Bombyx mori: one gene and its partner. The protein of the gene in region 1 binds, or shares a complex with, the protein of each later gene. Links are inferred from orthologs where the notes say so. Each region holds a gene or a part of one and is shown in the gene's direction. Other genes may lie near its edges. The genes, in order: thioredoxin-like protein 4A and peptidyl-prolyl cis-trans isomerase H.

Region 1 (3,940 bases):
TTCTCACTAGAATACGTAACTTCCATATTTTACTGTATTCAACTGACACAAATTTATATTTATATCCAGTAAACTCCAGTCGTGCGTCGGAGCGGACACACACACTTTTTTTTTCTACCTACGCTGAGAGCCTTGAGAGGCTATTTCAGCGTAACCCTAACTTTTGTAGTTGAGCTCGCGGGGCTCAAACCTGATGACGTTGCTAACACGAACCCTAGCAAGACCCGTGCTTCGCAGAATCTACCACCGGATCGGAAACGCGACCCACTGAGAAGATCCGGCGAGAAACTCAGTGGGCTGTGTCTGAGAGTTAATTTACTCGTCGAGCCCTTCGTCGCAAGCGACGGGTTCGACGAGAACGGTGACCGGTACTTGAAGTACCTAGAAGCACCGTTAGTGGATCGGGAGGATCCGAGATGACGTGTTTTGGGCGACGTCGACTGCTTTCCATTCTGTCCGCAGGATCGGGAATGTAGTTACCGGCGGCCACGATGAGAGGGTTCTCGTGTCGTGCCGCTTTATCGAAGTGGCGCATCGACGCCGACTGTAGATACTTACTGATGGACTCTAAGTCCAGGTCGTCATGGAGGTCGACGTTCCTGACGAACCACGGGGCTCCGACGGCTATCCTGCAAAAACGGGATTGAATAATGTGGAACGATTTTAAGTGAGTGCGGGCCGCGTGAGCGAACACTACACTTGCATAGGTCATGACGGGGCGTATGCAAATTTTGTAGAGTGTCACCTTATTTCTAAGGGACATTTTACTTCGCCTACATATCATCGGGTAGAGACGTCCTAGAATGAAGGCGGCACGGTCGCGTACCGTCTTGATGTGAGGGCGGAATGTCATCCTACTGTCGAGGGTGACGCCTAAATATTTGACCTTCGGGGCCCACGGTATGGGCTGGTCGAACATCGTGATTGGGCGAATGGCGGGGGCGGAGGTGTTGACGCGCCTAGTCGGGAGGGGGATGCTCAGCGTGGTGTTCGGAGGGCGACCCCTTTTGAAGAGCACCGCTGTGCTTTTCGTGGGGTTGATGTCGATTCTAGTGACGACTGCCGGCGCAGCGGCTGCGCAGTGTCTGCGCCAGCCGAACCTACGTCTCGGGGGGAGGTGGGAACTATTGTTGTCACCTCAGCGGTACAATCGATAAAATAACTGCTTTGAACATAAATACTTTTGTTTTAAGGTTTTTTTTATTTTCTTTTTTTATTTTGCAGACGATTTCAGTTGTAACATTACGTTACAACACCCGCACGCTAAGCGGAACCCTAAAGTGTCGAACAACGCCGTGCGACCGACGCCGCGACGCCTCGCAGGATTCGTAAAAATACGGAGGGTCGATAAAGAAAAATTGAATAACGCGCACGCGCCGCGCCGGTCGCTGCACAAAATTATTAATTTTATTTAATTTAAATCCTATAACCTATATCCTATACCTATATAATTTAATTTAAATACCTTGTTGTACCTATAAGAGTTGTAACGATAAAATATATGATTAACATTAAAGCCTCAAATAAATAAACTTCACCTCATTTCATCCATATCATTATTAACTTCATATTAAATTGATATAAATAACAGAATAATTCCATGAAAGATTACGCTGTATGGACTGATACCTCCGCCTTTCTTGTTGGAAAATGGAACTGCTACTGTCATACGTCATACTGTGGTCTGTGATTTTTTTTAAGGTATTTTATGACCTGGTAAAAGTCAGTGTTTGTAAATTTACTCATAGAATAGTCATATCTTAATACCTACATATTATTAAATAATTATAAATTTAAAGTTCTCTATTTCACAGAACATTCTTTTTGTTATGAAGTAACAAAAAAGACAACGCCTGCTCTAAACTTTTTGAACACACTTCTATAGAAAACGTGAACAGTGACGAGAAACAAAATGTGAGAATAAAATAACTTTGGAATGTCTTAGATGTGAAAGGCAAATTTCAGTGAGCAAAATAATATCAATATTTGTTCAGTGGTCCTACAACACGATTATATTTTGCTCATAGCAATAGCAATTTCCAGAAAAAAGAATACAGGAATAATCGTTTGTTTGAAATAATACGTAAAGTAGTTTATTTGCAAAATGAGTTATATGCTAGGACATCTACACAATGGTTGGCAAGTAGATCAGGCCATTCTATCAGAAGAAGACCGTGTAGTGGTGAGTTTTAACTAGATTCATAGAATGTAGAAATCTGAGATTTAGTATCTGAAGACTAAAAATAATAATTATATTCTAACCTTACATCAATAGGTATTTGTTAAAGTATATAAATGCAGTAGAAACCAAGACCTTCAACCTTCTAGTATAAAAAACAATAGATTTTGAATTAAAGGAACTAACAAAATGCTTTGAGCCAAAACAGTTAATAGTTATTTAATTAGTGGCCTAATTGTCTTGCCCTATGATTCAACTATATTAAATGTAATTAATTCTAATTTACATATCTAGGTTATAAGGTTTGGACACGACTGGGACCCAACATGTATGAAAATGGATGAAGTATTATACAGCATTGCGGAAAAAGTAAAAAATTTTGCTGTCATATATTTAGTTGACATTACAGAAGTTCCAGATTTTAATAAAATGTAAGTATACCGTAAAACTACTTGTTCTAAATTTATTTCTGAAATTAAGATTTTGATAGGTTTTCTTAAAACCTTTGTGGAATACACAAGTCCTCCTACCTCCAGTGTTTTAAGGAAATTATGTTGTATTATTAAATTTGTTGTTTTATTAATTATTAAAAAAGTATCATAAGTGAAGAAGCAAAGAACTATGAGTTTTCTAGGAATTCTTAATAAGTCTGGTTCATACAGTAAATGAATTTCATTATCTACATTGTTAATAATTTTTTTCAAATTGTTGATTTTAAGACTAGAGTAGAACAGCAGTTCTTGATCACTGGAATGTTGCAAGTCAAGTGTGTTGTGAAAATTAGAAATACGATATTTCAATTTTTATTTAAGGTGATCTGGGAAATTGCATCTCAGGGATACATGTTGGTTAAATATACAATTGTTTATTAAATATTAACCATACAACAGTATTACATATGAGTGATGTAAATACCAACAACCATCACTCCCAACTATAAATCTTTGCATTTAAGGGTGTCATGTATATATAGAGTATGTTAATACATCATTAAGTAAAAAAGGTTGAAAGTTCTAGTCTAGTAGAAAGGGTCTAGTATATAAAATGACTAAGCAAGGCCTATAATAATATTATTTAAACTTATTTCTAGGTATGAATTATACGATCCATGCACAGTGATGTTCTTCTTCCGCAACAAACACATAATGATTGACTTGGGGACTGGCAACAACAATAAAATCAACTGGCCTCTCGAAGACAAGCAGGAGATGATTGATATTATTGAAACTGTGTACAGAGGGGCAAGAAAAGGACGAGGTCTTGTTGTCTCACCGAAAGATTACTCTACCAAATACAGATATTAGTTTAATTTAAAATAATGTTCCACCTGAATGGTCTAGTAATTTGTAATCATATCTGACATCATAGTCATCATAAATTTAGTAATGTAACTTTTTTTATATAAAAATAAGAACTATACATATTACATTATAACTCATGTGTTTTTGGAATTATGCTGTTCTTCCTGATATTAAACAAAGTAAAAGTAGAATAAATGACAAGTTTTATGCTGATGTAGATCCTTTTTTTTGTGTTGCAATATCTTCATCATTGAAAAAAAAAAAAACCATTATCAAAAATACTTTATTTTTATTTTTTATTGCTTAGATGTGTGGACGAGCTCACAGCCCACCTGGTGTTAAGTGGTTACTGGAGGTCATAGACATCTACGACGTAAATGCGCCACACACCTTGAGATATAGTTCTAAGGTCTCAGTATAGTCACAACGCCTGCCCCACCCTTCAAACCGAAACGCATTA
Region 2 (3,252 bases), on another chromosome or scaffold:
CCCCTACTACTGGGTTACCTGGTTTTGTTTGACCCAGGACGGAGATCGGACGTCGGATGTAAGAGTGCAGGGGAGACGTTTAATGGGTGGGGCCCTAAAATTCCTTGGGCCCGCGGTCGGCTCCCAACACCTTGCAGATCGTCAAGTCCCACATACCCCGTGCGCCCCCTAGGCACGGGACCTCGTAGGAGGTTCGGCCCCCGCCCGAAAATTATAATAATAATAATAAATGGTTAGGAATTGGACTTGGAAAAAATGAATGACTAAATATTAGAATCAGAAGGAGATTATTGTATGTCTGTATTTTAAACTATACTGATAACTATATAGATGTATATTTTGGAACTTTGCAATATTTATACTCTATTTATTATAATACTATATTTATATAATTAAACTTTATACTTTAAATTTCAAATATTTCATAATCAGACATAATTAAAATGATTACATAAAGTAACTAAGTTTTTTTGAAATCTAGATTAATTAACATAAAAAAGTAAACGAAATGAAACCGACCCAAAGTTTTAAGTTACACTGTGGTGGTTGTTGGCATTCACTTTGTAAGTATTCGTTCCGATGAAAACTTAATATCAGCCAAACATAAAACAATAAATAAATAAAACTGCAATAATATGTATACTTTTTTATCTATTCACTTGAATCGAAAATGAACATTCATCACATCCAATTATTACACTAGATTGCACAAAATTACTTTTATTAAGCACATACACCCCACCACATCTACAATCGTATAAATACACATTTTCATCACTGTCAAACACCATTTCAGACAGTCTTACTGTTTCATAAAGCAATAGATCACTATTTTCATGGCAACTTAATGTAGCATCATACTGTTTCCTGGTGCTAGGTTCTCTTAAAACTGACCAAGCTTTTTGTAATAGGCGAAACTTATTATCAGAATCATCAGTTTTATTTTTATCGGGATGTAATGTCAAAGCGAGTCGCTGATAACTTTTCTTCAATTCTTCAAGGCTTGCTGTTCTATCGCAATCTAGTATTTGATAATAATCAATAGGTAGGTCATTACTTTCCATATTTAATAAAAACTCGTAAAAGAGTTTTATTTATAAAAAATAGTTTACCTCTCTTTAATTCAATTGCTGTTCCCACTTCCCAGTCTTTGATTAGAATTTTTTTGTATTTTATTTATGGCCTGGCCCAGTCTTTGATTGATTGTTTGAAATTCATTCTTTATTGTATTATCTATAATTTGTTCATTGGACGGGCAAAAGGAGATAGACCATACAAATTTCAATACTCTTGTCACAAAACTGTAACCTTTAAATAAATATAAATATAATATATATAAATTTAAATGTATGTTAGGTAAGGGGAATAATGGAATTAAATTAATTGCTCATGGGATAAAATTTAAGGAAGTGAATTAAGAAAGACATCACCGTAGGTATTTGTTAGATAATAAATAAGGTTCCATTAAAACTTATAAGATAGGTATGGCGTTCAAATCTGAAGAAACGCACAATTTACGAAATACAATAATTTACACGACTTTGTCCTTCCCCGAAAAAAAGTCCCGCCCAATATACAATTGTTGACGAATAATACCATAGTCGTCTGTGATCACGAATACTTTATGTAGTTATTCTAAGCGTTAGAAATAATTGAAATTAAACGGTTAGGATAGTTTTATTATTATCTACGATTCGCCGAAATAGAAGAAACTGCTATAATCTTAAAATGTAACAAATTCGCTAAACGTGAAGTTTTGTCCTTTGAAGTCACCAGAAATTCCGTTTTTAGATCTGGACAAATAGGCTTGTAAGCTACCTAATGTCAAGGAAAGGATGTCAAAAGTATAACCTCAAAATTTGACAGCCGGGTAACAATAAACATCAAACAAACTAAAACTTATAGAAGTTTTAAATTGTTAACACAAATGTAATGTTGTTTTAGTAAAAATTTCAATATTAACACATTGAAATGCCTACTTGGAACCAAATACAGTCACAACTTAGGAATCCTAACAATCCAGTAGTGTTTTTCGACATTACTGTAGGAACAACGGTAAATACCTCCCCGAACTTATTGTTTTTTATTAGATTTAAAAGAACACACAAAAATTTATGTTTATAAAATATTTATGTTTATTTTAGGAAATAGGTCGTATGATATTCGAGTTATTCGCCGACGTAGTACCAAAAACTAGTGAGAACTTCAGAGAATTTTGTACCGGTGAATACAGGCGGGATGGTGTGCCCTTAGGTTACAAAGGAGCTACTTTTCACAGAGTAATAAAAGATTTTATGATTCAGGGTGGCGATTTCGTAAATGTACGTATTAAGTTTTGTTTATGATAAAACGATGCCTAACTGAACATGATGGAAGTTTATTAATATTTACTATTCATTTTAGGGAGACGGTACAGGCGTTATGAGCATATATGGTGGAAGCACTTTTGCAGATGAAAACTTTGGTTTGAAACATGACTCTCCAGGGTTATTGTCCATGGCAAATAGTGGTAAAGACACGAATGGCTGTCAGTTCTTTATCACATGTGCAAAATGTAATTTCTTAGACAATAAGCATGTAGTATTTGGTAGAGTTATAGATGGATTACTTGTCATGAGGAAAATAGAAAATGTACCAACAGGACCAAATAATAAACCTAAAATACCAGTAACAATATCTCAATGTGGACAAATGTAAATAAAACTTCACTTTAAATTTTATCTTTTTATTATCATTAAATCACAATGGCTCTGCCTCACATTTCTAACAGACTAATAGATAAAATATAATATTCACAAATTTTTACATAAAGTAATCACAATAAATACTCAATAATTATGTACACTGAATTGAACTAATTTTTTTGGTTTGCAATTAGTAAGCGTCAAGTTTTCAAAGTGTGATTGTTTATTAGTAACTTTCTAGGCTGCATTGTTGCCGGCCCATTGCGCCTTCCGACTTCTTTAATGAAAGCACCTTCCATTTGTCGAGCAACTTGGTCAAAAAACAAATTAGATAAATGTGAATGTATAGCTGATCTAAATTCGAATGTTATCTGGAAGTCCACAACACACGACTGCTGTTCTCTTTTTAGACCAGGACTGAATCTCCAAAGGGTCAACATATGGTGGAAGAGTCTTCCATCAGAACACTCTGCTTTTACCAAATGTGGTTTGACTAGCGTAACATTTGAAGTGTAGCTTTCATTGATAGGAGGAAAGCCAATGATCAAGTCCGCCTTCAGGTTTCCTG

Evidence for each region.
Region 2: thioredoxin-like protein 4A (region 1) and peptidyl-prolyl cis-trans isomerase H share a complex: the UniProt entries of both Homo sapiens proteins name them as parts of the U4/U6-U5 tri-snRNP complex. The link is inferred for Bombyx mori from reciprocal best matches to the Homo sapiens genes TXNL4A and PPIH.

Annotation. Positions count from the first base shown.
Region 1 is NC_085120.1:13,294,410-13,298,349, reverse strand, and holds thioredoxin-like protein 4A, read left to right. Parts: upstream 1-1,294; 5' UTR 1,295-2,104; coding exon 2,105-2,182; intron 2,183-2,473; coding exon 2,474-2,610; intron 2,611-3,269; coding exon 3,270-3,483; 3' UTR 3,484-3,693; downstream 3,694-3,940. UniProt on the Homo sapiens protein: Plays a role in pre-mRNA splicing as component of the U5 snRNP and U4/U6-U5 tri-snRNP complexes that are involved in spliceosome assembly, and as component of the precatalytic spliceosome (spliceosome B complex).
Region 2 is NC_085116.1:6,471,843-6,475,094, forward strand, and holds peptidyl-prolyl cis-trans isomerase H, read left to right. Parts: upstream 1-1,631; 5' UTR 1,632-1,971; coding exon 1,972-2,055; intron 2,056-2,144; coding exon 2,145-2,321; intron 2,322-2,403; coding exon 2,404-2,697; 3' UTR 2,698-2,715; downstream 2,716-3,252. Other genes in the region: coenzyme Q-binding protein COQ10 homolog A, mitochondrial, read right to left, coding at 2,885-3,252. UniProt on the Homo sapiens protein: PPIase that catalyzes the cis-trans isomerization of proline imidic peptide bonds in oligopeptides and may therefore assist protein folding. Participates in pre-mRNA splicing.